Linked DNA regions of Lepisosteus oculatus. The main gene of each other region encodes a partner of the protein of the gene in region 2 in a complex. Links are inferred from orthologs where the notes say so. Each region holds a gene or a part of one and is shown on either strand. Other genes may lie near its edges.

Region 1 (11,253 bases), on a different chromosome or scaffold from region 2:
GCCCCGTCGGGTAGTTCATGGCATTTCGACCGGAGGATCTCGGCCAGCTGTTTCTTTACACAGAGGGCGGTGGGAGGGTGGCGGAACAAGCTGGTTGAAACCGATGTCCTGCTTTCTTTCAAGACACAGCTGGAGGAGATCCTCCAGTCAGGACAGTAGCCAGTTCTTTACAAAAGAAGCGGGAGGGCGGGTGGAACAAGCCGAACAAACCGCCCGATAAGACCCTTGAATTGATTGGCTATTAACTACCAGCGAAACCAGATGGGCTGAACAGTCCCTCTAATTTACTTTACACATAGGGTGGTGGGGGTGGGGAACAAGCTGCCCAGCCCTGTGGTTGAAGCCGATACCCTGGCTTCTCTCCAGACACAGCTGGGTGAGCTCCTCCAGTCGGGACAGGAGGCTCTTCTGTACACAGAGGGGGGTGGGGGTGGGGAACAAGCTGCCCAGCCCTGTGGTTGAAGCCGATACCCTGGCTCCTCTCCAGACACAGCTGGGTGAGCTCCTCCAGTCGGGACAGGAGGCTCTTCTGTACACAGAGGGGGGTGGGGGTGGGGAACAAGCTGCCCAGCCCTGTGGTTGAGGTCGATACCCTGGCTTCTCTCCAGACACAGCTGGGCGAGCTCCTCCAGTCAGGACGGGGGGGACTTCTTTACATTAAGGGTGGTGGGAGTGGGGAACAAGCTGCCCAGCCCTGTTGCTGACGCCTGGCTTCACTCTCAACACAGCTGGGCGAGACCCTCCAGTCTTTACAGGAGGCAGCCGCTTACACAGAGGGTGGTGGGGGTGGGGAACAAGCTGCCCAGCCACGTGGCTGAAGCCGATACCCTGGCTCCTCTCGTTCGCAGCCGGATGAGATCCGGGGACCGATTAACTACCGGCGACCCGGACGGGACTATCAGGCCGGAGCGCCGCCTCGCGCCCGCGACCCGTCTTTACCGCCACGGCGTCGAAGGGGATGACGCAGCGAGGCAGACGGGGCGCCGTTCAAAACAAACAAAAAAAAAATCACGGGGCGGAGGAGGGGCAGCGGCGGAGCACGACAAACCCAAACCCCCCCACCCAGCGGACAGGCCCGGGACAGGCCGGCTCCCTCACCTCGTCGGGCGAGATGACGAGCTTGAAGTTCAGCAGGTCGTCCTGGTCCGGGAAGACGATCTCGCACGTCTTCGGGAGGTTGAGCTCATTGATATCTGTGGGAAGACAGTGGGGGGGGTTATCCTGCGGACGTGCCGGTGAGCGGGGTGGAACGCGTCGGAATAAGAAGGCCGCCGAAACCGCGTCGATGAGGGCAGGGGGACCCCCACCGCCCCCCACACCCCACACCCCTGCCACCAGGCTGGTCACTTCAACGAATCCTTAATTGAACCAATTAACGGGGCAGTTCGATCAGAACCTCTGGTGGGCTTTTCTTCTCCTTCGAGAAGCCACCTTTAAGAGGCGCTATATGTATATAGATAAAATGAAGTTTTGCTACCACTGCTACGACTTAAAGGCTTCAAGGCTGGAGATGAAGTGACTATGGCCCACGATGAAGTTAGCTGGTGTGTGGGGGGCGTTCTGGCGCACTATGGCTGCCGTTGCATCATCCAGGTGGGGCTGCACACTGGTGGGGGTGGAGGGGATCCCCATTACCTGTAAAGCGCTTTGAGTGGAGGGTCCAGAAAAGCGCTATATAAGTGTAAGCAATTATTATTACTAATGAAGCACGACAGCCGAAAGGCCACCCTAACACCTCCAGGACCTGAAGGTAACAGAAGAGTTCGCTTTACACCCATCAAGAGCTCAGGTGGAGGGGGAGCCAGCGGGTACTGGGGTCCCCCAAGACTGGGACTGGGAACCCCTGGGCTACAAGAGCCCCATCTTCGGGGTTCTGAGCAAAGGAGACCCGCGAGGTCAGGATGGGATTCGAAAACCTTCCCAAAGCCCAAGGGTCACTCCCGAACCGGAACCCTGGGGACGAGACCCCGAGATCGACTAAGGGGACCCCCCCCCCGCCCCGGCCGCCCCAATATCCAACCCGAGGAGGCTCCAGTGGGAACGTTGGGGTCCTCAATCCGAAATGAACCCTCATCCCCCTGCTATCGCTCCACAGCGCCCCAATGCGAAACACTTTACAGTTCATCAGCGAGAACAGACCGTCCCTGGAGCCCGGCCTGCTCTCTCTGCGTGTACCCCCCAGGCACTGGAGGGACTGTAACCCTAACCCCCCCAAAACTGAGCTCCTACGGGCCCACGCAGACACCGGCCGGGTTGCCACCAGCGGAGGGCACCCCTGCGGGACAAGGGACAAAGTCAATCAGAATCAAGTCCTGACACTCATACAGCCCCTGTCTGGACCCTCCACTCAAAGCGCTTTACAGGTACTGGGGATCCCCTCCACCCCCACCAGTGTGCAGCCCCACCTGGATGATGCTCCAGTCCTCTCCCACACACCAGCTCTCAGTGGGGAGGAGAGCAGAGGGATGGAGCCAGTTCAGAGAGGGGGGTTATTAGGAGGCCATGATGGGGTAAAGGCCAGGGGGGGAATTTGGCCAGGACACTGGGGTAACACCCCTACTCTTGTCGAGAGACACCCCGGGATTGTTAATGACCCCAGAGAGTCAGGACCTCGGTTTGACATCTCATCTGAAGGACGGCGCCTGTTTACAGTCTAGTGTCCCCGTCACTATACTGGGGCATGAGGACCCACACAGACCGCAGGGTGAGCGCCAGTACTCTCACCACACCACCGACCAGCAGGGACAGGGAGAACAGAGTGACGAAGCCAGTTCACACCGACCCCCCTATTTTGGGGTCAGTTATTCTGTAACCCACCCCCATCCCGTGTGGCAGATGACCCTTTCTCTCTCTCCAGCGTATACAAACCTCAGCAGCACCTGTTCCCACACAGCTACACAGTCCCCACGCAAAACAACAAAACCAGGAGAAGCCAACCTCATCCCGCACAACACAAGAAGCAAGGACGCTAAAAAAAGACACGCGGGGTGAGGGTCAGGGCTGCTTGGCTTTTAAAAAAGTTTTTTTTGTGTGTGTGTGTGCAGACTAGTCGGTCTAAACGCATGAAACCCCCCGGCTGGGTGACGCAGCGAGAGAGAGAGAGAGAGAAAGCCGGCGGGACTCCGCGCCTGTGCGCGGCCGCCACTGGAGGACCCCGGACCCGGCCTGGCTCCCCTACTCGAGACCGGGGCTTCGCGCTCTCGGGGAACGGAGTCGCCCCAGCAAGGCCGCGGGGAGCAGGGGGGCCTCGCCTCGCCTCCCCTCAAAACAAGCGGAGTTTCCCCCAGTTCCCCCCCACCACCACCACCACCACCCGAGCCCACCCGTCTCTCCCCCCACGGTGGGTGCGCACCTTTCTGGATGCGCAGCTGGGCCGCGCTGGCCTTCTTGCCCCCGGCCCCGGCCCGGTTGCCCCCGGCCGACTCCTCGTCCTTCTTCTGCTGCTTCAGCGAGAACAACTTGATCATCTTGCCCGCGGAGGAGGAGGAGGAGCCCCGTGTCGCTCCTGCTCTTGCGGCTGCCGGCGGTTCTGGTTCCGGGGGTGGGGGAGAGGAAGAGGAGGAGGAGGAGGAGGAAGGGAAGGCGGTGGTAGTCTTGGGTCGCCTGCGAGCAAATTCTTTCACTTAGCTTCGTCTCGGGTTATGGGGGCGGAGGGGGGTCAGGAGGGGCTTAGCAGAAAGCAGGACCCTTCTCTCCCTCCTCGTCTCTCCTTCCGTGAGCCGCCTGGAAAATTGCGGGGTGCCGGGGACACAGCGCACCCCCAGAAGGAAACCCCCCCCAACAGAGGCAGGAGGGATCTCAGGCGGCGGGCACTGAACTGCACGCTCGCCCTCTCCTCGCTGGTTTATTATTTTTTTTTTTAATTTCGTTGGCGGGTGTCGGGCTGTCCCTCTCGGGGGGCAGGGCTCGGATCCGAGGCCTGGCCGGGCCTGTGTGCGCTGGGCTGGGCTGGGCCGGGCTCCGGCAGCCGGTGTTCGGCGAAGGCCGTCAGGAAGAAGACGCCGTACTTGATGGGCGAGGGGGAGAGAAACGGGGAGAGAGAGAGAGAGAGAGGTTGCTGTGGGGTGCCACGCAAAAACAGCAGATAGAGGGTTATAAAAACGAATGAATTGGCTTTTATTTACCCCCACCCACCCTCTCCCTGCGCCAACAAACCTCTTTATCTCCCTTCTGCGGCTCCGCTGCGCCGTCTTGAGTCTCCGGGCTCGGATCTGCCCCCCAACGTCTTCTTAGCTTTTTTTTTTAAAAAAAAAAATTTGTTTGCAATCGAAACCCCCCGAAACTGGGCGGTTTTAAATCATTTATCTCTATCTATCTATCCGCCGGGGGGTGGGGAGGGCAGTCCTTCCTCAATCGCCGGCTCGTTATCCAGACTCCACGGGTGAGGGTTGAGGGGGAGACACACAGTCGGGCGTGCTGTCGCGTCTTCTCTCCTCCGCGCTGGTAGTAATTATTATGATGTTGATGATGATGATGATGATGATTATTATTATTGTGTTGCTGGCGCCCCAAGAGCAGAGATCAGGGTAGGAGGGGAGAGGGGAGGAGAGGGAAACCGCATCCCCGCTAGCTCTCCCTCCGTCCCATCTTCGTCCCGCAAAGCCAGGGGCGACGGCAGCAGGACACCCGCGGCTGTGAAATCTGCAGGTTATTTGTATTTAAACTTGCTGGTGGTGGTGGTGGAGGAAAAAAAAACCGTTTTGTTTTTTTCTGGTCGACCCGGGCGGGCGGACGCGAGTGAAGTCTCCCCCCTTCCTATCCGCTGCCCCAAAAAAAAAAACCCCGCGGTTTTAACGGCAAGAAAGGCGATTTTTGTTCAACTATATTTAATTAAAACATTTTTTTTTTTTACAAAACTACAGGCTGACGGTTTGGTAGCAGCAGCGGTTACGCAGACCCGAGCAAGCCGGCTGTAGGTTCAAGACCCCCGCCGTGTTCGCCTCCGAGACGGACACGGATATCGTCTTCTCCTCCTTCTGCTAGCCTGACGAAGAATAATACTCAAACGTCCGTATTCTTCCCCCTTCCCTTCCCCTGTTTTTTTTTCCACCGCAAGACACGATCGGCCGGATTCAAAACAGAGCGAACTAGGCCCCCTTTTCCGCGCAGTGCAGCCTGGGACACGGCGCGCGCCGCCTCGGCGTCTGACGTCACGGGGCGGCCTGCGTCACCCGCCGTCCGGCGCCGCACTGCGCAGGTCCCGACTGAAAAAACTCTTCCGAGGGCTCTCTCCTCTATTTCCTCCCGATCAACGCGGTGATATACATCATTCGGCAGGGCGCCGCGGCTAGAAAGGAAATAATTGAAATATGCACACAAGTAAATTAACAATAATAATAATTGCTTCCACGTATACAGTTTACACTCCACTCAAAGCGCTTTACAGGTAATAGGGAATCCCACTACCGCCACCAGTGTGAAGTATCCACCTATGTAGTTCATATTTTCCTGTAGCCAGTCGCTGGTACCAACATATTTCTGTAGTTATGGGTGTTGGTACTAAGTTTTGTGTTTTCCCATAGGAGACAGAAATAAAACTAAGGTTGCTGCTGGAAGAGGTGTTAGTGGGGCCAGCAGGGGGCGCTCACCCTGTGGTCCACGTGGGTCCTAATGCCCCAGTATAGTGATGGGGACACTATACTGTAAACAGGTGCCGTCCTTCGGATGAGACGTAAAACCGAGGTCCTGACTCTCTGTGGTCATTAAAAATCCCAGGGTGTTTCTCGACAAGAGTAGGGGTGTAACCCCGGCGTCCTGGCCAAATTTCCCATTGGCCTTAACCAATCATGGCCTCCTAATAATCCCCATCTATGAATTGGCTTCATTACTCTCTGCTCTCCTCCCCACTAATAGCTGATGTGTGGTGAGCGTTCTGGCGCACTATGGCTGCCGTCGCATCATCCAGGTGGGGCTGCACACTGGTGGGGGTGGAGGGGATCCCCATTACCTGTAAAGCGCTTTGAGTGGAGTGTCCAGAAAAGCGCTATATAAGTGTAAGTAATTATTATTATTATTATTATTATTATTAATACAAGTCCTTATCTTCATTTAAAATTGTACTGGATTTACTTTACTGTGAGCTGGATTGGTTATGAACTGGGATTATAATCAGACTCCACTGACACTGACAGAGCAGTCTGAGACTCTCCAGGCTGGACTGGACTGGGAGCTGGATTAGTTATGAACTGGGATTATAATCAGACTCCACTGACACTGACAGAGCAGTCTGAGACTCTCCAGGCTGGACTGGACTGACTGGACTGGGAGCTGGATTAGTTATGAACTGGGATTATAATCAGACTCCACTGACACTGACAGAGCAGTCTGAGACTCTCCAGGCTGGACTGGACTGACTGGACTGGTTATGAACTGCGACTTTAATCAGACTACAGTGAATGTAGGATGTCAGTTTCTTTCTCAGTATTGAAGGACAAACACGACCCTATTTCTACAACTTCCCTAAAACATCATTGCTCTGCATATTAAACCAAACCCCAAAGAACAGCAGGAGACGGGACCAGTCATTTAATTCAAAAATAGGTACATTGGTTTAAATATACATCTGTTTACACACATATTACAAAGGCCATCATTCTCAAATGTATACAAAACATCAAAGAAAAAATCATAAAAAAACAACTCAACAGCAAAAAATATTTAAGAATGAAAACATCTTAAAATTATAGTACAAATAAGAAAATGTTGTTCCTGCTCTTCGTGGTGAGGAATTGCACTTGGAATTCATCATTCAAGCGGATGAGTCCAATAACACTGCAGGATTCAGGGATGGGGTGGGAGAGACTCCGGGAATACTGGGATACTTCAGCATCAAAAGGGCTCAGGAGAAGCGAGTCAGTTTATCGTAGTCCAGCTTGAACTGCCTATACAGATACATCGAAAGGATCATACCAAAGAGCTAGAGAGAGAAAGAGAGAGAGAGAGAGGGGTTAATACAGACACACTGACTGGACACTCCAGTACATTAACACTGCACTGAGAGAGAGGAGTTAATACAGACACACTGACTGGACACTCCAGTACATTAACACTGCACTGAGAGAGAGAGGGGTTCATACAGACACACTGACTGGACACTCCAGTACATTAACACTACACTGAGAGAGAGAGGGGTTAATACAGACACACTGACTGGACACTCCAGTACATTAACACTGCACTGAGAGAGAGAGGGGTTAATACAGACACACTGACTGGACACTCCAGTACATTAACACTGCACTGAGAGAGAGGGGTTAATACAGACACACTGACTGGACACTCCAGTACATTAACACTGCACTGAGAGAGAGAGGGGTTCATACAGACACACTGACTGGACACTCCAGTACATTAACACTGCACTGAGAGAGAGAGGGGTTCATACAGACACACTGACTGGACACTCCAGTACATTAACACTGCACTGAGAGAGAGGAGTTAATACAGACACACTGACTGGACACTCCAGTACATTAACACTGCACTGAGAGAGAGGGGTTAATACAGACACACTGACTGGACACTCCAGTACATTAACACTGCACTGAGAGAGAGAGGGGTTAATACAGACACACTGACTGGACACTCCAGTACATTAACACTGCACTGAGAGAGAGGAGTTAATACAGACACACTGACTGGACACTCCAGTACATTAACACTGCACTGAGAGAGAGAGGGTTCATACAGACACACTGACTGGACACTCCAGTACATTAACACTGCACTGAGAGAGAGAGGGGTTAATACAGACACACTGACTGGACACTCCAGTACATTAACACTGCACTGAGAGAGGGGTTAATGCAGTGAGAGAGGGACAGTCTGTTTTACCTTGCCAATACTCAACATAAAAATCTCTGTGATGCAGAGAGAGACAAAGAGATCAAAGTCACAATCAGAGCCATGGAAAACAAGACAACACTACACAACACCGACCTCAGAACTACTCCAAGCACACAAATATGTAGTGAACCATTATAAACATAATGTTATGGATATTACACACACTGCATGCAGCAAGCGGCATATGTAGGCACAAATTATGACATCACACCAGTCCACTCCACCACAATCACACTGTGCTTAATCACAATTCGACTGCACTCCAATCCGATCCACTCCAGGTTTTACAACATTACTCATCAAATTCCTATTGCAAACCAGCCTGATCCCGGCTTTTGCAACGTCACCAATCAGCAGCTCATTGTAAGCACCGGTTTCATAACACTGTAAAACCTGGGGTGGATCGATCGGACTGCCATTATAAACCAGTGTGATCTGCCCCAGGTTTTGCAATGTTTATTGATCGGATTCCAACTACACACCCGTCTGATCCACTCCGGGTCTTACAATGTTATCAATCCGATTCCCATCGCATGCCAGTCGGATCCACTCCGGGTTTTACACCGCAGGTAATCAGATTTCCAAAGCATGCCTTTGTGTGACCCTCTCTCGAGGCTTGAAGTGCTTCTAATCACAGTCTCACTGCAGGCCAGCCTGATCCACTCCAGGCTTTACGGGCTACAGAGCTCTTGAAGAGCCCCCAGCCCCCAGAGTTGGAGTGGCCAGAGAGGCAGAGCACGCACACACTGGCACACTGAGACCTGGAGGGCTGAAAGAGCCTGTTCTCTGGAGCCGGGCGCCGACACAGAGAGAGACACATGAACACCAGCAGGCTGACACACTGGCAGAACTGAAAGAGAGGGGGGGGGGGTTGGGGGCTGTTTTAAACCCCCTCTCCCCCCCTGGTATAAATCCCACCGCCAGGGCAATCCAGTCCGGACCAGCCCGGGTTTTACAAAGTCTTCAGTCAGGCTCTCATTGTAAGCACCAGCTTAATTACACTGTAAAACCTGGAGCGGATCAATCGGACTCCCGTTATAAACCAGCGTGGTCTGCTCTAGGCTTCATAGTGTTCTTAACTGGAATCCAACTACACGCCAGTCTGATCCGCTCCGGGTTCTACAGCGTGATCGATCCGATTCTCGTCCCGCGCCAGTCTGATCCGCTCCGGGTTTTCCAGCGCGATCGATCCGATTCTCGTCGCGCGCCAGTCTGATCCGCTCCGGGTTTTACAGCGTGATCGATCCGATTCTCGTCCCGCGCCAGTCTGATCCGCTCCAGGTTTTACAGCGTGATCAATCCGATATCAATCCGTTATCAATCTCGTCGCGCGCCAGTCTGATCCGGTCCGGGTTTTACAGTGTGATCAATCCGATATCAATCCGTTATCAATCTCGTCGCGCGCCAGTCTGATCCGCTCCGGGTTTTACAGCATGATCGATCAGATATCAATCCGTTATCAATCTCGTCGCCCGCCAGTCTGATCAGCTCCGGATTTTACAGTGTTATCAATCCGTTATCAATCTCGTCGCGCGCCAGTCTGATCCGGTCCGGGTTTTACAGTGTGATCAATCCGATATCAATCCGTTATCAATCTCGTCGTGCGCCAGTCTGATCCGCTCCGGGTTTTCCAGCGTGATCAATCCATGTTATTAATCACGGCTCTAGGTCGTGCTCGTCAACCACCTTTGCTCATCATTACCGTTAACGAGGGGGAGCGCAGATTCCGATGAGTCTGCATGCCCCCCAGTCACACCACTGTATGACAGTAAAGTCATTATCACACCATTGTAGCAGCTGGGATCTGAACAGACACAAGCGATCTCTCGGCCTGCTCTCGCCTGTATCCTCTGGGACAAGTCTGCAGCAGCTGCGCTCTGAACAGACACAAGCGATCTCTCGGCCTGCTCTCGCCTGTATCCTATAGGATGAGTCTGCAGCAGCTGGGCTCTGAACAGACACAAGCGATCTCTCGGCCTGCTCTCGCCTGTATCCTATAGGATAAGTCTGCTGCAGCTGGGCTCTGAACAGACACAAGCGATCTCTCGGCCTGCTCTCGCCTGTATCCTATAGGATGAGTCTGCAGCAGCTGGGCTCTGAACAGACACAAGCGATCTCTCGGCCTGCTCTCACCTGTATCCTCTGGGATAAGTCTGCAGCAGCTGGGCTCTGAACAGACACAAGCGATCTCTCGGCCTGCTCTCGCCTGTATCCTATAGGATAAGTCTGCTGCAGCTGGGCTCTGAACAGACACAAGCGATCTCTCGGCCTGCTCTCGCCTGTATCCTATAGGAAAAGTCTGCAGCAGCTGGGCTCTGAACAGACACAAGCGATCTCTCGGCCTGCTCTCGCCTGTATCCTATAGGATAGTTCTGCAGCAGCTGGGCTCTGAACAGACACAAGCGATCTCTCGGCCTGCTCTCGCCTGTATCCTATAGGATAGTTCTGCAGCAGCTGGGCTCTGAACAGACACAAGCGATCTCTCGGCCTGCTCTCGCCTGTATCCTATAGGATAAGTCTGCTGCAGCTGGGCTCTGAACAGACACAAGCGATCTCTCGGCCTGCTCTCGCCTGTATCCTATAGGATAAGTCTGCTGCAGCTGGGCTCTGAACAGACACAAGCGATCTCTCGGCCTGCTCTCGCCTGTATCCCCCCCTGCTCCCCTGTGTGTTTCTGTCCGCTGGGCTGTCTCACCTCCACCGCGACCACAGCAGCACAGACTCCCAGGATCAGCGTGAGGTTCTGCTTCAGCCAATTTGTAATGCCCAGCTTACAGCCCTGGAAAGAGAGAGTATACCGACTGTAATGTAGACGCTCATCTTCTCCTTATCCTTATCTTCATTCCACATTCTCATCGTCATCCTCCTCCTCACTTTCATTCTGATCCTCATCCTCATTCTCACAGAAATCTTCGTCCTCCTCCTCCTCTTCCTCATTCTTATCCTCATTCTCAGCATCATTCTCAATCTCATCTTCATCTTAGTTCTCGTCCTCACCCTCATCCTCTTTCTCATCAGCCTCATCTTCATTCTCATTCTTGTCCTCATCCTCAGTCTCATCCTTTCTTTTCATCCTCATCTTCATCCTCAATCGCATCTTCTTATCCCAATCCTCACCCTCATCATCCTCATCTTCATCCTCAATCTCATCCTCTTTCTTATCCCAATCCTCACCCTCATCCTCTTTCTCATCATCCTCAATCTCATCCTCTTTCTTATCCCAATCCTCACCCTCATCCTCTTTCTCATCATCCTCAATCTCATCCTTTCTTATCCCAATCCTCACCCTCATTCTCTTTCTCATCATCCTCAATCTCATCCTCTTTCTTATCCCAATCCTCACCCTCATCATCCTCATCTTCATGCTCAATCTCATCCTCTTTCTTATCCCAATCCTCACCCTCATCC
Region 2 (11,418 bases):
CCTATCCCAGCAAGCAACAGGTGCAAGGCAGGAAATATCCTGGATGGGATGCCAAGGCCAATTTTCCCAGAAGCCAATTAATCTACCAGTATGTCTTTGGACTATGGGAGGAAACCAGAGCACCCGGAGGAAACCCACGTGAACATGAGAACATAAAAAACATCAAGCAGATAGCATTCCAGGAATTGAACCTTGGGCCCCAGCGCTGATAAGCAGCAATGATAACCATTACGGCACTGTCGCCTGCCTAATTAAAATTCCAAAATTAAATCACATCTGACTCATGAGGTCAAATTGAAGATCAAAATTCACAGGAAAAAAAAAGTATAATACTAGGTACAACTAAATGTTGTGAATATTAAAAATATGAAAATGTTTTCAATGATGATGAAAAATTGACAAATACCAGCATGCCATTTATCCACCTCCTTGCAATGATTGAATCCAGGCCGCATACAATTATATGAAATTCTGAGGAAACACAAATAAGTATTGGAAGTGAGACTCAATTTTTTATATTTTCCCGATATCTCAGTATCACAAATTGAAAAACATGTAAAACTCAGATCAAGCTTTTACAAAGAGGATTAAGACCAGTTCCAAAAAGGAATGTTTTCCCTGCTGTAACAATGACTTGCAATCTTCTTTTTGTATGTACCTTATGTATAACAGTCGATGGAAAATGCGTTTTGATGGCAAAATTGTTTTTGGAGCATAAACCTCAGTATTTAAAACTGCAACCCTCCTTATATATAATCTGCAACAGCTTTATTAAGGTGTTCAAACAATGAAAGACTTACGTCTGTAAAATGAATCATCAAAATCTTGTATTTTTTTAAAATATCTGCATGTTGTTAAGAAATTAGAAACAGGTTTGAGTTAATTTTTTACACACTATGCAAAAATGACATTTTTGCTATTACTGATATTTACAGGATCACCCTGCATTAACTAATGTTTCCTTTCTTTACCATAATCGAGTTCTGTGCACCCTGCTCCTTTTGTTCAGGGCATACTGTAACTGAAAGTAAAGGATACGGCACAACACCACAGCTTGGAATACGACTGTTGATAAATTCTGCCGCCACTTCTGCTTTCGGCCTCCCCACATCTTTAGGTCTGAGGAAATGTTGGGAGGCAAAAAATGTTCAGGTAGGAAAACTATCAGAATCTGAATTTTTACACTAACATCAACTTAGTTGAAAGGGAGGAGACTGACAGAAGACACCTGATGCTATCAATAATATTCTGTTTCATCATGTCAAAAAACATTAGCAATAACCACAGTTGCAGTCTGCTACCCAAAATATGCTTAACTTTAGAACAAAAATACCACTTGTGCTCGTTACACTGTGCCCATCAGCCACAGCAGACCAGCACAGATGGTGCACCACATGGCGCTGATGACAGTAAGAGGACTTGGACAAATCAGCTTAATAGTAAAAATACAAAGCGATTCAGAGGAATGAGATCAATGAGCGAATACATGATACTGCCCAGCTACCACAAAGTGAATTTGCAAAACATCTATGTAGATGTGAGAAAAGTTGTTGGACAACCTACAGAGGTGTTAAAATTGCTTAAAATTTAAAACGTGTCGGTAAGACGTCTGTACTTAGCCATCTTCTTAACTGTTATTAACTTATCACTCAGGGCTCACATGTCCGCACCTCTGTAGCTTTCCCCTGTCATTTTCTCTGTAAATTACTTGATTCACAAATAACATATAGATGAAAAGGGCAAGACCTAAAAGCAATAACCAGAATATTGTCATAATAAAGCAGGACAAAACCCAACAATTTGTTGATTTTGTTGGGACAGGAACACCTCTCCCAATATTTTGTTGATTTTTATGGGAATTTCATGTCCAATTTCAGTGTGCAGAAGCCAGCAAGAGCAGAGAGTGTCTGGAATGTGTGATTTATTTAACTGTGAAAATACACTATATCAGTGAACTGAAAAGAGCTCTTAACAAACACAGCTCACCTGAATAAAAATTGCCTGTTCAGATTTGAGACATCGATGGTATCCATGTCAACTACATGAATATGGCGAAAGCCAGACAGGGCCTGATAACATAATGGTAAAAAGTGATCTGAATAAAAGGTTTACAAATGCCAACAGCGTTTTATTTAAGTAGTCACTTATTCCAAAAAAAAGTACAGTGCAATCAACAATGCTTAAATTGTAAAACAACAGTTTTCATCCAAACTTTCCTGCACGTGGACATTCATACTGAAAGAGAAACAATCTATCAAACACAGATATTTGACAATTACTGTTTGAAGTATGTGAATGTTAGGTACATTTTGTTCAACTTTCTTTCCTATTCTCTAAATATAATTTTAACATAATTTCCGGTTATAAGTGAAGAACATTCATGCAAAAGACTTCATGAAATGGAAAAAATGTACAAGAAGCATTTTAATACGTGCATTTCGCAGTTCAGGAAGTCATTCTAAAACATTTGTGCTCCCAGATGAAATATTTCATGAACAGAAGCATCAAGGAGAAAACAATCATCATGAAAAAAATTCAAAGCGTTCAAAGCTCCCTGCATTTTTTCACCCTAAGAACAATGCAAAGCATTTGACTGCCCATTGAAACACACAAGATCTTAACTTCACACCAGTTTACACTGATCTAAAGTTTTTTTTAAAAAAAAGAATCAGCATCATACCAGATTTTTAAGAAGTTCACATCCAAGCCCTCCAGCTCCAATGACTAGTATCTTGCATGTGTCCAATAAAAACTGGAGTGACTATAGTTAAAACACAAAACCAGAAAAGAGTTACTATGAATACGCACACAAATGGCATACAGAACTAAAAAGAACAGGTGACAATATGTACCTGACCATAATTAAAAGAGTAAAAATGTATTTTAAAACTGAAAATGGAAATATCACTTTTAAGTGTTGATTTCTTTTAACTTTACCATGTTAAACATGTTACATTGTAAAACAGAAGTAGAGTCTGAAATAAAGACCACAATGTGTACTGGATTTTTACTATTTTATTAGTAAATTAAATGGCTGCTTTTCAACTGATATCAACTATATGATCAATTGGTACCGAGTTAGCAAACATTTTTGTATTAAATTCATGGCATCGTATTTATAATACAGTATGAAGCCATTTGTAGAATTTATGTGTATAGGTGGAACTAAAACTATGTGATGGAAATCATGCAAAACTGTCAACTGCATTTTCTAAGAAATGTAATTCAAAACATTCAACATTTTAAAGCTTGTGGGGGTTCGTTTGCTGTGCTTTCCTTTCCCCCCCAGTACAAAACACAACTGGAGAAAGTGGAGTTGTCTCACGTCAGTGCTTGGTTCAAAATCGGGGTGTGTAAATGGTCCTGAGCGCTCGAGAAACTTCTTGACATGGCTCCAGCGACCTGCCCAGTCTCCATTGTCCCCACACCCACCATCCACAGCCATTCTGCACAGAACACAAGGAACTCAGCTACAAACATCAGTTGGAAAACAACTTGCGTGTCTGCTGTGCTCACAATGCCTGTAGTTTGAAAACACAATACCAAAGTTGGCAGCGTGTGCAAAGACTTTAACTTACAGGCTAACTGGTATTGTTAGCTTTTGAGTACGCAGTACATTGTTGGTCAAACATCTAAACTTGTACCTTTATTTGTACTATTGTACCATTTTTTTAATACTTCAAATGTCAATGTAGGTATATCATAAATAAAAATATATATTATCCTTTCAGACACAAATAACTTCAGAATATGTAGCTTTAAGTACCTACATACATTGACCAATCGCACAGTAACCACACCTAAGGTACATTTTTTTTTTGGCAAAATACAACAGAGGTTGTAATAAGATGGTATTTGACCATAATTACGCTTGTTTAACTTATTTATTATGTATAAAGTCTGTTTAAGACATTACTGTTACCAAGAGGAAACTAAATTTGCCAGAAGAACGTTTATCAATAAATAGGGTTAAGAATCTTTTTAATTAATAGAAATAATTATCTGTCTGGTACGTTTTGATTAATTCTCCAGATATATTACTGGTTGACATGCTATTCACAATAACAACTGTTGGGGTGTAACAGTTACTATTCCAGCCTAAACATCGTTATCACAATCCTGATAAAACAAGCACGTTATGTTTAATATATTCCCTTTTGAAAGTTTACAAAACAATGTAACCAAACAACACAATTAGAAATCGGTAGAGGCCTGTATTACAGCTATTGTATAATTTTAATTTATATGCAATGTTTCTATAAAAGAATGGAGTTAATTAAATAGCAGTCGAAATAAGAAACGAGCGCAACATTAAGATGTGAAAATTCCTTATGAACACGTTATTAAAAACATGTAACTAGTTACTATAAGCGTGACTATAAACTGCGATACATTTGAGCAGCCTGAGGCCTTACTATAATCGACTGTAAATTTTAGAATATTTCAATTTTCCGTCCTTTTATAGACAAAACATTAATGTGTCAGTCAACGAATGGAAAAAAGAATTTTCACATTAATGCTCTACTACTCCGTGCGCTGTGTAACCTCAAACCTGCTGGCAGTTTATATATTTTTAGCATTTCAGTACTAACTTCTCAGTCTGCTCTTCTACTCTCCTTCTTTTCTTCTCCCTAAAAAGAGAGAATAAAAGAAGGTTCAATCGTGTTCTCTTTTTTTCAGCAGGTAATACATGAGATTATGAGCACTAATTTGCAGATCTCTCTGTCCTCTCCTTTCACGGATACTTACGGTTCCTCCACATCCGCCATATTTCCTGCTCCGTCTCCTCCCACAATGCCGCGGTGGTTAGGAGCTGCAGCTGTTTGAGGGAGGGAGATTTGAAACAGCACAATGGAAAGATTTTTCAAGCCAATTCAAGCCAACAGTCCAGCCCCAACCAACCAGTTCAAGATTTATACGGCATCAGAAAGATTTTTGTTGCTGGCAATGTTCGCGTCACCCCGATCATACGTGACATAAAACGTTCTGTGAACATTTTAGAGACGCCAGTCAACCTAGACAGCTTTTTTTGGAAGGTGACAGGAAAGCAACCCACTTGGAAAAATAAAAGTATGAGAACAACCAAACTCCACACAAAAGTCACTCCAGTGTGGAATAAAACCCAGAAGATCTAGCAACCACACCTTGTCTTACCCTGCCTTTCCTTACAATGTACAGTATATGAAAACATCTGAGATCACCTTAAATAAAAGAAGAAATCTAAGATACAGAACTCTTGAGATACTTACTGTTATTGCCCCAGATGGAAAATTTGCTTCATGGTCTGGTAAAAAACAACAAGGTACAGTAATACAACATGAATTCATAAATAAATAAGAAAATATATATATAAGTAAAATAAAATATACAATCAATTGTCCAAATTAAGCAAGTTATTAGCCATTGGATTAAAAGATAATGTAGTTCTATTGCATTTGAGTCTAAATCAGTCCCCAGATGGAAGGAGCTCAAATTCACTATACAAGGGGTAGTAATGACAGTCCATGATAGACACACTATTTGTCTGATGTAGATGTCTGCAGTGCCGCATTTCGCACAAGGCACTGTAGGCACAGTACCTGGGGCCTATAATCTTTTTAGTGCCTACGAAGGTGGAAAACACTAGTGACTAATGAAAAATGAGCTGAAACAATATGCTTGTGATCGACTCTACGTGCTCCCAATCAATAATCTTACGCTATCTAGCGGCTGTTCTAGAAACTAGAAGTATCGAGTGATGGTCGCTCAACTCGCTCCATCAATCACGTGGTTTAGCATTAGAATAGTTTAAAGTGCATCATGTAAATCAACGTAATTCAATTGGCATATACTCCTCTTTTTGCACATTTCGGCGTGAAAGTGCCTAGAGCCTACAAACAACAAAATCCGTCCCTGGTTGTCTGACAGCTGTAGCTGTCATCCACCAATTATGTTGTTGGCTACCTTAGCTACACTGTCCTGCTCAGTCTGATTTTATTGTGTTTATTAAGGTTACCAAATCAATCTACCACAGAGAACAGGGCAAATTCAATGAAAGTTCCTTGGGATAAAGTGATAGTTGTAGCACCCAAATTAATAGAGTGGAGTCTTCTTACATATGGCATGTGTTTTTCTCAAAGGTTAGTTTGTAATTAACACTAGTGCCAAGATAAGAGTAATATATGACTATTCAGTTTCAGACCTTCGATAACTTTTGGTTTCGCAGCTGGTGGTTGTTTTCTTAATCAATGATCATGCCTTTGGTTTTTGATACATTAAGTTGAAGACAGGAGTTGTTACACCAGTCAACAAAATACTCCATTTCAGGCCCATGTCTAGGAGCAGACTTAAACACCTGTTTTTTTCTCAAAAGACCTACAGCAGTCAGTATGCAGAATGTACAGGATGGGCAATAGCACAGAACATAGCAACTTTGATAAAAGACCATTTACCCTAATTCTTTGTGATCTTTACTTTTTAATTCCGGGTAACGTAAACGTCTGCTTCATTAATGCAGTTTTCAGTACACTGTCTAAAACCCACCGCCAGTTTAAATATTTTGCATTATTATTATTATTATTATTATTATTATTATTATTATTATTATTATTATTACAGAGAAGCTGGGCATCTTGTATCTTCTGGATGAGATGCACAGGTTTGTTTATCGCGAGAACCAGACAACCCTGCCCACTCAGCCCCGTGACGTTAGCGCACCAGCTGATGCTCGCTCCAGCCCAGAAGCCTGCAAGCCACCGCCGCTGCGATCATGGCTGGGATGGAGCTCGCACCGCTCAGACCCTGGGACGACTTTCTTCCCGGTTCAGATCGCTTTGCAAAACCTGACGTGGGTAACTTAGCAAAATGGAACAACAGAGTCGTCAGCAATTTGCTCTACTATCAGACCAATTACTTTGCAATGGCCATTGTCGTGTTTTTGATCGTTGGGTAAGTAGCCTTTGAAGACTTGGCAACACTTAGTCCGCTGTTAGTCATATTCTCCCCACCCTTTTCCAAAACTGCATTTTTTTCTTCTGTGCACGATTCTTTATGATGCCAGCTGTAATTGAGACGGTTGTTTCACGGCGTTTCTTAATTTAATGTTTATGAACATTTTTAGCGTTCAGTAATTACAGTACTGTACATTAGTGAGCCTGTTAAATTTGTTAACGCGTTCTATTTCTGATTGACAGGTTTGAATGTTAAACCGGATGCGAATTTAGGGCCATGCGACAACTTTAAAATTGTAGTGTTCTGATGCGGAATTCAATGTTGTGCAGCTCGTCCAGAAAAGGACATCCGAGATACTTAAGTTCCTCCAACACCCTGCACCTTGCTCAAAGTTTGCGACGTGCAAACAGAGTTGTTGATGCAATCCATTATACAGAGTGCTGGGGTGTGTGTAATGGTAGTATTGTAATAATTTATATGATGCCTTGTAATAGGCACAGTCGATTTCAGGGGCTGCGCTCAGGAATGCGAGGTCTGAGGCAAAGCAATAGAACTGGAAACGTCGTTTCTAATAACAGTATATTAACAGTGCAACTTGTTCAAAAGTTGCCATTTTCCTAGTTTGACATGCAATTATGTATTAGAGAGATCTGTATACGTGTCAGTGTGTGTAGAAATGTTTTGCTGTCAATGCGGGCATAAAACGTAATAGTACTTTTAACAAATAGACGATGTGTGGGCGTTCCACAATGTACTGTACATGATATTTATCATATGATATTTTTATCATACTTTAACATACAGTTCTGTCTGTCCTTTAACATACAGAACATAGATGTTTTAAGTTTTCGTCCCGTGTGGAACTTGGAATCGCAAGTATCAGTAAAACAGGAGGAAGACGGCACCGTCTCGATAAAAATAGCCAGATGTGGGGGGTTATTTGCTACTGTTAACTGTCGCCCGCCCATTTTATAACCGCTTCTTCCATTTCAGGGTGGCGGGGGCTTCTCTTTAACTTTTCTATAAAAATGAAGTACTTTTTAAAATAATTTTATGATGCTAAACGCTACTATCAACAACACATCTCCGACCTTTTACCTTTATCTTGCCAAACATACTACTGTTAATTCACTGGAAAGAGGGACATACTCCTTAAAGGTAAATATATACAATGCCGTGAAAAAATATCCACAATTTCCTCTATTATTGTATATTTGTCACACTAGATGTTTTCAGATCTTTAGACAAAATCTAATATTTGATCAAGGGAACCTGAGTGAACAAGTAACATTTTTTTTATTATTATTTCATTCATTTAATAAACACAGTTATCCAACACCCATATCCCCTGTGTGAGTAAAAAAGTAAATAATGACTGGTTGCACCACCTTTAGCTGCAATAACTGCAACCAAACACTTCCTATAATTCAATATCAGTCATTCACATTGCTGTGGAGCAATTTTAGCCCACTCTTCCTTACAGAACTGTTTTAATTCAGAAACATTGGTAGGTTTTTTTCAGCATCAACTGTCTGTTTCAGGTCCTGCCACAGCATCTCTATTGGGATTAGGTCTGGACTTTGATGGCCACTCCAAAACTTTAATTTAGTTTCTTTTGAACCATTCTGATGTGGACTTGCTTTTGTATTTGGATCATTGTCTTGTTACATGACCCAACTACACTTCAGCTTCAGTTCACGGACGGATGACTGGACATTCTCCTTAAGAATTTTCTGATACAGAGCCGAATTCACACTTCTCTTTAATTATGGCAAGTCGTCCAGGTCCTGAGGCAGCAAAGCATCCCCACACCATCACACTAGCACCACCATGTTTGACTGTTGGTATGATGTTCGTACTGTGGAATGCTGTGTTTGCTTTATGCCAGACATAGTGGGACCCATGTTGTCCAAAAAGTTCCACTTTTGACTCATCTGCCCATAGAACATTCTCCTAAAAGGCTTGGGGCTCATCCAGGTGCTTCTTGGCAAATGAGAGATGAGCATTTATGTTCTTCTTGGTTAGCAGCGGTTTCTGCCTTGCTACTCTCCCATGAAGCCCATTTTTGCCCATTTTGCCCATTTTTGAATCAGTCTCTTTCTGATTGTGGAGTGTTGAACACTGAACTTAGCTGAGGCAAGAGATGCCTGCAGTTCTTTGGATGTTTTTTTAGGATCCCTTGAGACTTCTTGGATGATTTTATGCTGTGCCCTTGGAGAAGGTTTGGCAGGCTTGCCCTCCTGGGAAGACTCACTACTGTTCCAGGTGTTCTCCATTTGGAGATTATAGCTCTCACTGTGGTTCGGTGAAGTCCCAGAGCCTTAGAAATGGCTTTGTAACCCTTTCCAGACTTTTTTCTGATGTCTTCAGGAATTTCCTTTGATCGTGGCATAATATGCTTATTGAATCTTTGTGCTGGCAACTTGACTCTGATGGTAAGACTCAAAATACAGTAAGTGAGGTTTATACAGTGGCTGTATTCAATCAGCCGACTCTAAATTATCTCTTTAATTGGGTTGATTTAACTAGGGAGCAATTTTTCACACAGTGAAATTTGGTGTTGGATAACATTGTTCATTAAATAAACGAAATAAGTAAAAAAAAATGTGTTATTTGTTCACTCAGGTACCCTTTATCTAATATTAGATTTTGGTTGAAGACCTGAAAACATTCAGTGTAAAAATTTTGCAAACATGGAGAAAATCGGGATACTTTTACACTGCACTGTACGTATGAATTGAAACAACACCAAAACCAAATACCAATATTTAGTGATATAACGCAACACATTATAAATAGTAAAAAATAGCCAAAAAAGGTTGTAGATGCTTTTGAGAATGTACAAGACTGCTCAAGCTTTATCATATCATCTTTACCCTGAAATCAATTATACACACTAATGGAAATGTAGTTCAAAAGAGACATGTAAGAAACCTTAAGTAACAGTAATGTTCAAACCTCACAGCAGTGCTATGTATTTTAAAGCTATTCATTTAATATTTAATCAAATTACACTTAAGTGTTCATAATGTACTGTAATTAGAACATCCATCCATTTTCTAACTGCTTTATCCAATCCAGGATCCTGGTGGAGCCAGAGCCTATCCCTGCAAGCAGCAGGCACAAGACAGGATACACCCTGAACAGGACACCAGTCCCCTACAGGGCACTCGCTGGCACAAGCACACACTTGCACCAGGGCCGGCTTTACCAGAGGCTAATTAACCTACAGTACCAGTATCTTATTGGACTGTGGGAGGAAACTGGAGCACCTAGAGGAAGCCCACATAGGGAGAACATACAAACTCCACAGAGATAGCCTAGCAATCAAACCCCAGCACTCCAAGGCAGCAGTGCTAACTACTGTGCCACTATGCAATAATAATAAATTCCTTAAAGCACTTGTAATGGGGACTCCCCTACAACACCAGTGTGTAGCCCTCACCTGAATGATGCAACGGCAGCCTAAGTACACCAGTACACTCACCACACACCAGCTGTCAGTGGGGAGGAGAGAGCAGAAGCCAATACATAGATGGGGATTATTAGGAGGCCATTTTTTACAGATGTTTTACATCTCATCCGAGATGCCCCTTTTTACAGTAGAGTGTCCCCGTCACTATACTGGGGCATTAGGACCCACACGGACCACAGGGTGAATGCCCCCTACTGGCCTCACTAACACCTCTTCCAGCAGCAACCTTAGCTTTCCCATTGCAGAGAGATATAGCAGCTGGTATAATAAGAACATAAAGTTCACAGATAACAAGAGGCAAGTCTAAATCATTTGGTTTTCAAAAACATGACTTAAAAATGTTACAATTGATAAGTTCTGTGGTCTGTCTGGTCTGTTTGGTAGGTTGTAGCTAATTGATGTGAGGTAGGGATTTGAAGTAGGGTATCACCTTCAGCAACATGGCTGTCCACTGGGTTGATTTTGCCTATGTCTCAGAGGACATTGAATACTTGAATCTAGTCCCCTTATAGTGTCTCTGTTCAGAGCTAAACATATGTAGTTCCTTTAGCCTGGCAGTGTGGTTTGAGCCTGATAATGGACCTTGTTTCTCTTCTCTGGGTGGATAACAGAGCAGCAATATCTTAGTTGTTATTGTGGTGATCAAAATGAAACATGTGTCTTACTGGTACAATGTACAAATTTAATATATCGCCCCTTAATAAAAATGTTTGGCTGAAATGATAAAGATGAAAACAACATGCTGTGCATTCAAGTTTTGTTACTTTTTTGTCCCATACTATAATTGTGCAAGCGTAGAGTAAGTATGGGAAATCACTTTCCACATTGTCCCTTCAAACTTAACTAAGAATTTAAATTTGAAATCCATAAAATATCTTGGTCCCTAAAATATCCACAAAATCCCTAAATATCTAATGTAGTCCTTTACATGAAATCCCTGGTTTCATTTCTACTGTGAAGTACGGTATATACTGTGTTATAGGTTTCGGTGTGGCAGCATTAATCATTACCTT

Evidence for each region.
Region 1: the proteins of uba3 (region 2) and ube2m are in contact, whole or in part, in a crystal structure (PDB 2NVU), measured with the Homo sapiens proteins. The link is inferred for Lepisosteus oculatus from reciprocal best matches to the Homo sapiens genes UBA3 and UBE2M. Residues at the interface, in NP_003959.3 of Homo sapiens: His53, Pro54, Asp55, Glu61, Ser62, Phe65, Cys70, Gln149, Asn152, Asp153, Thr154, Arg157, Gln158, Phe159, His160, Ile170, Arg173, Trp174, Ser181, Leu182, Leu183, Asn184, Pro192, Ile195, Val196, Pro197, Leu214, Met217, Arg254, Met255; in NP_003960.1 of Homo sapiens: Lys3, Leu4, Phe5, Ser6, Leu7, Lys8, Gln9, Gln10, Lys11, Lys12, Glu15, Lys21, Gly22, Ser23, Ser24, Lys25, Lys26, Ala27, Gln31, Leu32, Gln35, Lys36, Ile38, Asn39, Glu40, Phe51, Ser52, Asp53, Pro54, Asp55.

The regions. Positions count from the first base shown.
Region 1 is NC_090702.1:2,067,668-2,078,920, reverse strand, and holds the start of ube2m (NEDD8-conjugating enzyme Ubc12), read right to left. Parts: upstream 4,953-11,253; 5' UTR 4,156-4,952; intron 4,007-4,155; 5' UTR 3,468-4,006; coding exon 3,353-3,467; intron 1,194-3,352; coding exon 1,099-1,193; intron 1-1,098. Other genes in the region: CD82 antigen-like, read right to left, coding at 6,839-6,916, 10,541-10,624.
Region 2 is NC_090699.1:50,385,919-50,397,336, forward strand, and holds the start of uba3 (NEDD8-activating enzyme E1 catalytic subunit), read right to left. Parts: upstream 4,804-11,418; 5' UTR 4,770-4,803; coding exon 4,750-4,769; intron 4,632-4,749; coding exon 4,593-4,631; intron 3,447-4,592; coding exon 3,326-3,446; intron 2,762-3,325; coding exon 2,681-2,761; intron 2,070-2,680; coding exon 1,987-2,069; intron 1,120-1,986; coding exon 1,039-1,119; intron 845-1,038; coding exon 801-844; intron 472-800; coding exon 407-471; intron 1-406. Other genes in the region: arl6ip5a (ADP-ribosylation factor-like 6 interacting protein 5a), read left to right, coding at 6,749-6,927. UniProt on the Homo sapiens protein: Catalytic subunit of the dimeric UBA3-NAE1 E1 enzyme. E1 activates NEDD8 by first adenylating its C-terminal glycine residue with ATP, thereafter linking this residue to the side chain of the catalytic cysteine, yielding a NEDD8-UBA3 thioester and free AMP.